Linked DNA regions of Cricetulus griseus. The protein of the gene in region 1 binds, or shares a complex with, the protein of each later gene. Links are inferred from orthologs where the notes say so. Each region holds a gene or a part of one and is shown on either strand. Other genes may lie near its edges.

The links. Proteins that work in one complex are often made in the same cells at the same time.
Region 2: Srrm1 (region 1) and Scnm1 share a complex: the UniProt entries of both Homo sapiens proteins name them as parts of the minor spliceosome. The link is inferred for Cricetulus griseus from reciprocal best matches to the Homo sapiens genes SRRM1 and SCNM1.

Annotation. Positions count from the first base shown.
Region 1 is NC_048595.1:17,950,089-17,955,779, forward strand, and holds the end of Srrm1 (serine/arginine repetitive matrix protein 1), read left to right. Parts: intron 1-45; coding exon 46-241; intron 242-1,463; coding exon 1,464-1,673; intron 1,674-2,894; coding exon 2,895-2,999; 3' UTR 3,000-3,919; downstream 3,920-5,691. UniProt on the Homo sapiens protein: Part of pre- and post-splicing multiprotein mRNP complexes. As a component of the minor spliceosome, involved in the splicing of U12-type introns in pre-mRNAs. Involved in numerous pre-mRNA processing events.
Region 2 is NW_023276806.1:61,365,648-61,372,577, reverse strand, and holds Scnm1 (sodium channel modifier 1), read right to left. Parts: upstream 4,001-6,930; 5' UTR 3,885-4,000; coding exon 3,834-3,884; intron 3,449-3,833; coding exon 3,378-3,448; intron 3,139-3,377; coding exon 3,050-3,138; intron 2,953-3,049; coding exon 2,858-2,952; intron 2,758-2,857; coding exon 2,669-2,757; intron 1,323-2,668; coding exon 1,128-1,322; intron 478-1,127; coding exon 378-477; 3' UTR 313-377; downstream 1-312. Other genes in the region: Lysmd1 (lysM and putative peptidoglycan-binding domain-containing protein 1), read left to right, coding at 4,122-4,234, 4,786-4,981. UniProt on the Homo sapiens protein: As a component of the minor spliceosome, involved in the splicing of U12-type introns in pre-mRNAs. Plays a role in the regulation of primary cilia length and Hedgehog signaling.

The DNA of each region.
Region 1 (5,691 bases):
GTCTGTTCTCAATGCTGTGTTGTTTTGTTTCCCCTTTCTGTCTAGGGCTGCCTCACCAAGCCCTCAGTCCGCCAGAAGGGTTTCCTCTTCCCGATCTGTCTCTGGATCTCCTGAGCCAGCAGCTAAAAAGGCCCCAGCACCTCCATCTCCTGTCCAGTGTCAGTCGCCCTCCACCAACTGGTCCCCTGCAGTGCCCGTCAAAAAGGCTAAAAGCCCAACACCAAGCCCGTCCCCTGCAAGGGTGTGTGTGTGCCCTGTTCTGGGCATCTTTATCATTAGTCATGGGGGTTGATGGTGGGTGCTTAAGATGGTGAGTGCTTACAGTCCCAGCACTTGGTGGGCAGCAGCAGGATCAGGACTTGAAGGCCAGCCTGGGTTGTACAGTGAGATCCTGTCTCAAAAACAGTTGAGTTACAAGTTAGTTAAATTCTTACATAAATTTAGTGTAAAGATAGTCTGCTGTATGGTGGTTCCATTAAATAATCTTTGATTCTGTGGTATGAGAGTGATCTATGTTCAATAGAAACCACACTTTGAATTTTTGGGGGGTGGGGGAGTATTTCGAGACAGGGTTTCTCTGTGGCTTTGGAGGCTGTCCTGGAACTAGCTCTTGTAGACCAGGCTGGCCTCGAACTCACAGATCTAACTGCCTCTGCATCTCAAGTGCTGGGATTAAAGGTATGCGCCACCACCGCCCAGCTTGAATTTGAATTTTGATCCTCTTTTCTAGGTTAGTGAACAGCACAAACTGTTACTGATATTCAGTGAATTAGTGAGCAATTCAACATTACTGCAGTCAGCTTTGTATTAGACAACTACGTAGCTGTAGGCCAGTGTGTGTTCTGAGCATGCTGAAGGCAGTATGGCTAAGCCATGGGTTGGGGAGGTGTAAAGATAGATTTTACTTAGGTGGGATGTAACTTAGAGGGTTTATTAAGTTGCAGCCCTGTTGTAAATGGAACATTTGGGCTAGTAAGGAAGATGGCTCTGTGGGTACAGGTACTTGCCTCCAAGCCTGAAAACCTGAGTTCAGTTCCCAGGACCCACAGTGTAGGAGAGAACTAATTCCTGTAAGTGGAACATCTCTGTACAGCAGAGTGAAGTTGTGGTTCAGGTTTTATTCTGGCATTTTTTGGATTCATATCTGGCATCGTATACTGAGATCCTGCTATGTGTTTTGTATTATATGAGGTTGTCCCTGCTCGTGTCCAGGAGCTGGGAGGCAGCTCATGGTCAGCCCATGGCTCCAGCTGTCGGCACCTCCATCACACCCTGAAGCTAGAAACGCTGGCAATAATAGAAGGGAAAGTGGCTTTGTGGGCGACCTTGGCTTTGGTGCGTCACCGCTGGTATTGGTGTCTGTGCACTTCTGTGCAACATTTATTTGTCTGAGATTCCCTCTAGGAAATAAAACAGGATTTTAATCAGATCAATTACATCACTGTTTCTTTCTGGGTTTCTAGAATTCTGATCAAGAAGGAGGTGGAAAGAAGAAGAAGAAAAAGAAGGACAAGAAACACAAAAAGGATAAGAAACACAAGAAGCACAAAAAACACAAGAAGGAGAAGGCTGTGGCTGTAGCCACTGCAGCTCCTGCCACCCCTGCAGCTATTTCTGCTGCCACAACCACATCAGCACAGCAAGAGCCTGTGGCAGCCACAGAGCCCAGGAAGGTATTCACCCACCACCTCTGCTCTGCTAGCTGCTACTCAGGGCTAATGTTTCCTGAGGCCTTCCAGGACCAAGGAGAAGAGTACAGATGGCTTCCCAAAAGCTTAATGCTCCAGTGCCTGTCCTGGAACTTACTCTGGGGATCAGGCTGGTCTCAAACTCACAGAGATCCGCCTGCCTCTGCCTCCCGAGTGCTAGGACTAACTAAAGGCATGCGCCACCACTGCCCAGTTTTTTAATTTTTTAAACTACTTTCTGGGCAGTGCTGGGACAAGAGCACAGTGCAGGACTTTTTGCTGTGCGTTAGGCATGTGTGCTTCCACTGAGCACACCCCTAGTCACACATACTAAATGCAACCAAAAAAAAATTCACATAATGGGAAAAGGTGGCGGGGGCTCCCAAATAACCAACAGTGGCTGGTTTTGTGTGTGTTCATCCATTGTGTACATGTAAAAGCCATTGGTATCCCCTTTTTTTTTTCCCCCGTGTTTTTATTGCATTTTATTTGTGTGTACACGAAGACACCCGAACATCTACACAGAAAGGTCAAGACAATTTTGACTAGTTAGCCTTCCACCATGTGGAGGAGTACTTTTGAGCAAACATGAGTCATTAGGGTTAGCCAGATGGTGGTGGCGTGTGCCTTTAATCCCAGCACTCAAGAGGCACTCTGTGAGTTTGAAGCCAGCCTGGTCTACAAAGCTACATAGAGGAACCACATACAAGTCATCAGGGTTGGTGGCAGGCTCCCTAAGCTATCTTGTCTGGAGTTCACTATTTCAAATAGACTGGACCACCTCCCCAGCACTTGGGGTTGCAGGTGCACTGCTACCAGGGGACCCTAACTCAGATCCTCGTGCCTGCATAGCAAGCATAGGTCTTACGACTCAGTTTGTGGAGGGCTTGCTTAGCAGGCTCAAGGCCTTGGGTATGGTTCCCCAAGCCCCAGATAAACTGGGTGTGGTACTGTGGGTGCTTGTAAGGCCAGCACTTGGGAGGCTGAGGCAGAAAGATCCGAGGCTCATGGTTGTTCTGGCTCCTTAACAAGTTCTAAACAAGCCTGGGATACGAAGAGACACCTGTCTTAGAAGTCATGATTTAAAGTGGGTGCTTTTTATATAAGCAGAGTGTATTGTTGCTGCAGTTTGGCTCTGGTCTGTACTCAGCATCTCCTGCTGTGTCTCAAGCCTTAACATCTGCCTGGTTTGGCTTTGTTTTCCAGGAGACTGAAAGTGAAGCTGAGGACAACCTTGATGACTTAGAGAGGCACCTTCGGGAAAAGGCCCTTCGGTCCATGCGGAAGGCTCAAGTGTCCCCACAGTCCTAGGGGGACATGTTTGTTACGTTGTAAATTTTATTTGGTTTGTACTCAATTTCAAAATTGCTAAAATGTGTTTGAGCTTTAGACTATAACATTTGTTGTAATAATTGCTAGGTTGAAGTTCACCATGGGTTTTTCTTTTTTTTTCTTTTTTTTTTTTTTCTTTTTTTTTAAAGAGGGCATGGATTTACATTACAAAGGTGTCCACAGTGTATTAGTGACATTCTTCCATTGACATTTAGAGTGAAATATTTTAAGCCCCCCCAAAAAAAGATTTTTTTTTAAGGGCATTTAAATATTGTTGGCATTCTTGTGGTTCCTTTAAATGCCTTTGCCTCCCCTCCCCGCCTGTTTTTCTTCCTTCCTCTTGAATTTTGGGATCCATGTGAATTATGCTTACAACCTTGTATAGGTTTGTAAGCTTGCCCAGAAGTGAGACCACTGTGAAGTACCACAAAGGTCTGAGTGAGTGTTTTCACTCCCGTTGTCTCTGCCGACACCTCGGGATCTCAGCTCTAGAGAGCAGGGGAGGCACTGCTCATGGGTGCTGGAGATTCTGTCCGAGTGTGACAGCTTCCTAAGTTGATTTACAACTCTGGGATTTTTGTCCTCTTTAGGTTGATTTGTTTTGTTTTTCTGTCTCCCCCTTTTTTCTTTCTCTTTTGTAAAGGCAATTTGCTAGACCCAGCAAGGACCCTTCAGTTACATAAATTTGTTTTATGAAACTGCATGGGCCCATCCATATTTTTTTCCCTTACTCTTCCAATTGGTACACAAAACTGAAGAGCTCTTGCATTGGCAGGCTGGGAGGGCCTGGACTTGGACATAGTGTCTTGGTTTCACTGTTTTATTTTATTTTATTTTTTAACTAAAGCTATATAAAGCTTGTGGATTAAACAGAATAAATTTCTAAATTTAAAAACGTTGCCACTCACTTTAACTCACTTGCCTGGGTACTACAAGACAACTCCACCATCTTGGTAGAACTGGATGTGCAGGGAAAATGAGAATCGATGAAGCAGGATTTTCCCCTTTTATTTACTAATTAACTTCAGAGAGTGCTAGAGGGGAAAGTGTGGTGAGTTCTTGGAACATGAGAAGCGGGGGAGGGTAATTCGACAGCAAAAGCAGATGTCTTTGAGGCAGATCGTTGAGGCAGATCGCACAGTATCATTGCCCTCAGGTTTGGGGGGGCAGGGCCTAGCACTCCCAGAAAGGAACTTACTTGGAGGTGGGCCAGAGAATGTGAGGCAGAGCAGTCACCTTTGTATGAGAAAGGAGCTGAGAGCTTGGGCACCAGGAGTCTCAGCTGATTATTTGGATCCATGGGTACATTTGTTAGTAATTTCTGACACTTGACACAGAAACGCAAGATGCTCAGGTCTTAATTTCAGGAAAACTTGGGTTTGGGTTTGGTTTGGTTTGGTTTGGGGTTTTGATGTTTTCTTGTTTTTGTTTACTTTATTTATTGGCTTTTACCCAAAAGACCTCAGTAGTGATGGGCTGATTCTACATGGGGTTATAATAAAGAAAGGCATACTAAATGAAGATAGTCCCGAAGGACTCCCCAGCTGACAATAGAGTTTCACATGAGAGCAGAACTTTCCAGGTTCTCCCATGTATTACAAGTAAGTGGAAACTAAACGTGGAGACATGGGAGAAGCAGTGTTCAGCTTCTGGAAGGTTGATTGCCAGCATAAACAACCAGTGAGCACCATTGGAATATTTCCATCTGTTTAGCCCTTCATCTGGAGCATTTATGACTCGATTCCTGCTACTCATGAGTTTTCATTCTTTCCCTTCGGCTGCCCTTGGCCATAGCTGTACTCAACTGAAGCCAGATCAACAGCAGTCTTTGGCTACACGGGGAAGTCAGGTTGTTTAGAGGCTAACCCAGGCTACATGACATCTTGTCTGGAAGATGGATCCAGGTGTGTTAGCACACATCTGTAATCCCAGCACTCAGGAAACAACTGGAGGGTCATCCTTCCGAGCCTTGTCTCTGGTTTCCTTTGAGACAGGGTCTTGCTGTTGAATTCATGAACTCAAGTGATGCAACAAGATGAGTCAGCATTTCACTTGGACTCAAAAAATAATAAAGAAGCTGGGGGTGGTGCACGCCTTTAATCCCAGCACTCCGGAGGCAGAGGCAGGCGGATCTCTATGAGTTGGAGTCTAGCCTGGTCTACAAGAACTAGTTCCAGGACAGCCTCCAAAGCCACAGAGAAACCCTGTCTCAAAAAACCAAAATAATAATAATAAAAGAAAATGAAGGAAGTGGGAAGGAGACTAGAGCTGGGTGTGGTCAAGATGTTTGTTGTTGTTACACATGTGAGATTGCCAAAAATTATAGCATTTTTGTTTCTTTTTAAAGAAAGGGGCTGGAGGTGTAGCTCAGTTGGTAGTATCTACCTAACATCTCCAACGCCCTGGGTTCAATCCCAGCACTGTGTAAACCAGGGGTGGGACCCCTGCATTTCCAGCACTTGGAAATTGTCTGCTAAAGAATCAAGTTCAGGTTAAGATGAGATCTCGGGGAAAAAGGGAAAAGTTAGGGTTTGAAGTGATGTATATGTTCAAGACTGTTGTGATGGCTCAGCAGTTAAGAGCACTCCTTACATTAATAGAACAAGGGCCTAGAGAGATGGCTTAAATGGTAAGAGCACTGGCTGCTCTTCCAGAGGTCCTGAGTTCAATT
Region 2 (6,930 bases), on another chromosome or scaffold:
CTTGGCCTCGGTCCTCTTTGCAGAGAGAGGTGGCCAGAGCCCCCATAGTGCCCATTGGCAGTCCCCATGTGATCTGAAGAGAAAGGACCTAGAGTGGAGGTGGGGAAGGAGTCAGAGTACACGAAGGGCAGAGACCTCTTTCTGACAGACTTATTAATAGGGCACCAGGCTGAACGCAGCTGACGCTTGGCAAGGCTTTTGGCAAGTGGGGGAGGGGTCAGAAGTATGGGGAGCCATGTACGTTGCAGGAAAGGAGTGGCCAAGTTGAGGATGAACAGATTTGAAAGCCTAAGATTGAACAAGGAACCTGACTGGAGGATTATTAGGCTCCCAGGACCCACTGTAGTTTATTTGTGGAACAAATGGGGAGACGGTTATTAGTCCAAGGGGAGGTCAGGGGGCTCTTCCTCATCGGAGTCAAATTCAACATTTTCATCTTTTATCCATCGACCTTGTCCATCTGGGATCCATCCAGAGCTGAAAACATCAGAGAAAAAACAACTGGTCAGGGAAGAGTTTTATTTATCTACTTTTTCTTTTCTTTTTTTTTTTTTTTTTTTCGAGACAGGGTTTCTCTATGGCTTTGGAGGCTGTCCTGGAACTAGCTCTTGTAGAACAGGCTGGTCTCAAACTCACAGAGATCCACCTGCCTCTGCCTCCGGAGTGCTGGGACTAAAGGTGTGCGCCGCCACCACCCCCCGGCCAGGGAAGAGTTTTATGAAAAAGGTTTGTGGTACTGGGTTCCATCCCCGGGAGCCACAGGGTATAAAGAAAGGACCAACCCCTATAAGTTGTCCTCTGACTTAACACAAGTATGCCCCTACATAAATAAGTAAATAAATGTAATTTAATTTTTTTTTTCTGGTTTTTCGACACAGGGTTTTCTCTGTGGCTTTGGAGCCTATCCTGGCACTCGCTCTGGAGACCAGGTTGGCCTCCAACTCACAGAGATCCGCCTGCCTCTGCCTCCTGAGTGCTGGGATTAAAGGCTTGCGCCACCAACGCCCGGCTGTAATTTTATTTTTTAAAAAGTTACTGGTGACAAGATAAAAGCAATTGGGTGGGTTTGAAAAACGTCAGGTTGGGAAAATGAAAGAAACCCAAGGAATGTGATTCGGCAGACTAACCTTCGGAGGGTAAGGTAATGGTTCAGGACTCGTCGTTTTGTGGGGCTTATGGGTGCAGAGGCCAGGAGATCTGATGACTCTTTGGCATGTGATCCTGCCTTAGTCTCAGGTTCCCTACTGATCTTTGCACTCTGGAGTCCAACCTCTGGGGCAGGCAAAGGAGAACTGGAGACAGAGGGAGCAGGAGCCTCTGGTCTGGGGAGAAAAGAAACCAAGCCTGTTAAATGCACAGAAGGAAAGTAGCAGCTTCCCCGTGCCTCCCAAGCCTGAAGAGCAGTGTTTCCTAAACTGAGTTCCTGAGTTTTTTGTTTTTTTTTTTTTTCTTTTCCTCGGTTTTTTGAGACAAGGTTTCTCTGTGGCTTTGGAGGCTGTTGGAACTAGCTCTTGTAGATCAGGCTGGTTTAGAACTCACAGAGATCTGCCTACCTCTGCCTCCCAGAGTGCTGGGACTAAAGGCGTGAGCCACCACTGCCTGGCTAGTTCCTGAGGTTTTTTTGTTTGCTTTTTTGGAGATAGAGTACATATGATGGACCTGGAATTTACTAGGTAGATGAGGCTGTCCTTAAATTTACAGAGATCCACTTGCCTCTGCCTCCTAAGTACTGGGATTAAAAGTGTATACCACCACACCCAGCTTGAGTTCCATAAGATCTTAAATATTTTACATATGAAAGATTTTGGAATTAGGAACTTGAGAAAAGCCAGCTTAATAGTTCTACGCTTTTGCCTCAAGATTTTCCATAACCAGGTATGGTGGTACACACTTTTAGTACCTGCAGCACTTAAGGGGCAGAGAAAGGCAGATCTCTGTAAGTTTGAGGCCACCCTGGTCTAAATAGCAGGGTTCCAGGACAGCCAGGGCTACAAAGGGAGATCCCCTCTCAATAACAAACAAAAAAGTGTACCACTATGCCCAGATTATGTTACTTTTTTTTTTTTTTCCTCTGTAGCCCCGGCTGGCCTGGAACTCAGAGACCCACTGGCCTTGCTTCTGGAGTGCCAGGATTAAAGGCGTGTGCCACCATCCAGCAATAATGTTACTATTTTTTTGTGTGTGTGTGCATTATTTTGTTTTTCAAGGCAGGGTTTTTGTTTGTTTGGTGTAGACTTGGCTGTCCTGGAACTCACTCTATAGATCAGAGATCTACTTGCCTTGTCTCCGGAGTGCTGGGATTAAAGTGTGAGCCACCAACACCCGGCTAAAATTTATTTTAAAATCACAAACTATCACCAGGCGATGGTGTCCCACGCCTTTAATTGCAGTACTCAGGAGGCAGAGGCAGGGGGATCTCTGTGAGTTCGAGGCCAGCCTGGTCACCAGAGCAAGTGCCAGGATAGGCTCCAAAGCTACAGAGAGAAACTCTTGTCTTGAAAAACCAAAACAAAAAACAAAAACAAAACAAACCACAAACTATCATTTTTCTTTAAACAACATCTCCACAAGATTAGTGTTTCTCAGAGTACAGTTTGGAGAGCAGTAACTTCAGAACCATCTATTTCCTTCTACCCTTTCCCACTTCCGGATTTCCCCCTCTACAGACCTGTGCTTCCTCCGGCAGCAACTGCTATAGTGAGGAGCTCTGTGCAGAGCACTCTGGGTGATTAATCGAGTCTGGGTTAGCAAAGGTGCCTGGTTATCAAGAGAAGAAGACACAGTTGGAGATGTTAGGCAAAAGTCCTGTTGCATGCAGTACAGCCCTGCCTGAACAACACCTGACCAGATCTCTCACCTCGGCTTTGCTTTCTGTCTTCAATTCATTTTGCTGTCTTGGTTTTTGCTCTGTTTTCTTGCCTGATTGCTTTTTGCCATAGAAGAGCTTCAAACCTGAAAAGGAAAGCAAGCACAACATCAAGTAGACTGACAAAATGTTCAGAGTGTATTCTCTATCATTCCTCCACTCCCCGCCTTCTCCTGTACTTACTGGATAGGTGCTTCTTGCCTGCACGGTGGGCAGTCAGCATGGCCAGCGTGTCCAGGACTGGTCGATGGGGGCAGATAGCGCAAGCAAAGCTAGGGAAAAGAGAAGTGAATGGCAAACCCGTATGTGTTGGAGAGCCGGTGGTTGGGGTGTTCCTACTTAGGGGCTATGCCTGTCAAAGCACTCCACCAACGCCCAGGTCTCCCGATCGCCACCTCTTCCAATCTTCACTTCCAACCAAAGGATCTATTACACTCCTGATCTCCTTAGAAACCAAAGTCTGTTGAGCCTCTGATAGCAAATCCCCAGGCTTGATCCACTCTGCTCTCACCGTCCATCCCGCAGCATTAGCGCCTCATCCTCTGGGATGTAACTGGCCAGCAAGTCTCCAACTCTTCGTTTCTGCAGAGAGCAGGACAGGAGAAACGAATATGAGGGATGGATGAAAAGAAATAACAGGGATAAAGAGTCAAATGGAGCAGACCATAGGGTAAGAAGGAGGAGGCATCACTCAGTTCTGGCCCCCGAAACCCCCTCCCACAGATGTCGCCAGAGCAACAAAACAATGCAAAGCGCGACTGAAGCTGGGCTCTCCCTCTCTCTAGTTCTTTGATTTTTCGAGACAGGGTTTCTTCGTGTAGCCTTGACTGTTCTAGAGCTGGCTGTGTGGACCAGGCTGGCCTCGAACCTCAAACGCAACACGGACACACCGGCTTTTGCCTCGCAAGTGCTGGGATTCAAAGCGTGCGCCACCACTGCTCGTGGGTAGACTCTCACTAGGGCTTACTTTGAGCACATTGAGCTGACTCCAGTCGTCACCTTCCCTCTTGAAAGACATCACGACTGTGAGTCTTAGAAATAATAAATTCTCCTACGCCTACTTTGCCTCTCCTTCGGGCCACCGTAGGAAGAGTAGGTTATCGCCTTCCCTGCTTCCGGTCTTTTTCTGATTAAGTCTTTACTTCCGGGGATGCGTTTCCACGCATGCACCGCGCGAGCCGGAAGACCCGCCTCCAGAGCCCTGAGGGTGCCTGCATTTCCTATGATGCCCTGAGAACGCTTTGCCTTTTGGGAAATGAAGTCTTTTAGTTATTTTCTTTTTTTTGTTGTTTTTAAAAGACCTCACCGCTCACCTGAGTACAGGCACTCACATCGCGAAGGACCCAGGTGTTTGGAGACCAAGAACCTGTACGTGGAGCCGGAGTTTCAGGGTGGGACCCTCCTGGCGTGGAGCGAGGCTTCGGGGATCTCAGTGGACCGTGTACTGCAAACTCTCTCAGTCCCCAGGCTCACCGTCCACAGCCACGATCTACCTGGGGTGGGCCTGATTTGGAGCAGAGAGGATGTGGGGGCTCCCGGCGGCCCGGCTGCGGGACGTGGGGACACACTGAGGGGAGAGTGTTGATGAGGGTGTCTAGGGTTCAAAGGTCAGAGATCAGGCTTGCAAGGAGTTGGGGAGAGGGCGTCGAAAGTCGAAGGGGTCGGCGACCGACCACTCAGGGAAGATATTTATGGGCAAGGGTCTTGAGGAAGGAGAAATGTAACCGGCCTGGCAGCCTTCTTAGGGTACGGACTGTGACCCCAAGCTCGGTAAGCAGCAGCAAGAGGAGCATTGATGTAGTCTCTCGAGAGCGGGGACACTAAAGAGAGAAGTGAGAAGGAATTCCTAGAATATCTATCCATTCCTGGGGTTCGGCCCTCACTGTTGGTCACTTAGCTTTCCTCAGTTGTGACCCTAGATCTTGGCATCTTGAGATGGCTTCTCCCTCTAGACAGCCCCCACTTGGGGGGTCAGGGCTGCTGCATGGGAGCCGTGCTCGTTCTTATGGAAGCCTGGTACAATCATCGTGCTCCCCGGTGAGGGAAAGACGCTTGGAGCATCAGTTGGAGCCTGGAGACACCCTGGCTGGACTAGCACTCAAATACGGGGTGACGGTGAGTCTTCCAAGGATTGTGGTGTGGTGACCATTCAGGAGAGATTTAGTGCCCAGGAGAAACTGGGTGGTCTGCTAAGCGGCCTTCCCTGATGTTATATTAATTATATTGTGGTCTCTGCTTTGTCTTATTTTGTTTACACCTCTCAGGGTAGCACTATCCACACTCACAGACCTGCCCTACTATCCCAGTGGGAGGAGCAGCTCCTTGGATTGGGTTGGATGCCGGGATAGGGTGGTGGTTGGGGTGTGGTTTATAGCCATTAACCTATTTGGATCTTGTGCCCCTATCACCGTGAGACTCACCGTGAGACTCACCGTGAGACTCACCGTGAGACTCACCGTGAGACTCACCGTGAGACTCACCGTGAGACGTAAGACGGATAACCAGTTTGATCAAGGTCAAATAACTTTGAGTGTCAGAGTAAGGTTTCAGATAGGTCTGTCTGACTCTAAGTCCCCTACTATTAGCCACGAACAAAAAAACTAAAAGTGAGTAAACATTTACACAAGTCAGAAAGAACTGTGTTAGTAGAGTTCCTAAAGTGCCTGTTTCTAGTTCTTTCCACTCTGTGCTTTCTTTCCGGCGAGGCACAAAACAAGTACCCTCTATATACATCAAACATTTCTGGTCACACCTAGGAGAAGTTTGATGGGCATAAAAATTAAAGTTGTAGCCTCCCCCTCTCTATCCTTTTTACCACATACAAACAAATGTTGAATTTAGACAAATTTCCCTGCTTGCTGTACTTAAAGCATTATAGTAACCCTTCCTGGAGATAAAGCATAAATGTGTATTGGTGTGCTCAAGTAATTTAAATTCTCATGAGAATAGAGAAGAAGAATGGCTATGTAGAAATATTCGCAAGGGGCGGGATATCAGGAGCTGTTAATTTTTGTTTGGAATTGAGAGTGGGTATTAGTTGATTTTTGTGTGTGGTGGGGAGGGTGGATTTTCTTTCTTTCTTTTTTTCTTTCTTTCTTTTTTTTTTTTTGTTATATTTTGTTTTTTTGAGACAGGATTTCTCTGTCTTTGGAGCCTGCCCTGGAACTCCTCTGTAGACCAGGCTGGCCTCGAACTCACAGAGATCCGCCTGCCTCTTGAGTGCTGGGATTAAAGGTGTGTGTCACCACTGACAGCAGGGTGGATTTTCTAGTCAGTATGTCACTGTGTAGCCTAAACTGGCCTGGAACTTAAAGTGCTCTTTTATCTTGAGTGCTGAGATGAGGAGTGTGAACAAGGCACTCGGGGGCGTGGGTTTTAGGAGTACTGTCATATGGGCCTTGAAGACTTGGGAACTTTTCCCTCTGTGTTCCCTTCTGCAGTCTGTGAGCCCAGATGTTTGTCTCCTTGTCTTCCTGCAGTCTACAGGCTCTTTAAGAGAAGAAAGTTTCCTTTCAACTTTATGTCTCTAAGTTCTGGCATAGTCTCAATGACATGGAAGTTTAAAAGTTTTCTGAAAGCTGCTGGTGTAGTGTTGCAGGCAGAGGCAGGTGGATCTCTGTGGGTTTGAGGCCAGCCTGGTCTATAGAGTGAGTTTCAGAACAGGCTGTTACATAGAGAAACCCTGTCTGGAATCAGGAAAAAAAAAAATGTCTGAAAGCCAGGCTTGGTGGCTCAGACCTATAATCTCAGCCGTTAGGATGCCTAGGCAAAGGGATTCCAGACCAAGGGTGAGTTGAAGTGGTAGAATGCAGAAGAGAGAAAGCTAGACACTTTCTGCTGGGGCTAGTGAGGAGCCATAGGAAGTTGCTAGCCAGCTAGAGGGTTAGTCAGATTCATTCTTCTAGATGTCAAGAGAAAGATATGTGGACATGAAAGAGGAAGAGCAGTTAGACTGAACAATCAACCCTGATGAGAAATATTAAGTGTGAGCCAGGCGTTGGTGGCGCACGCCTTTAATTCCAGCACTCGGGAAGCAAAGGCAGGCGGATCTCTGTGAGTTCGAG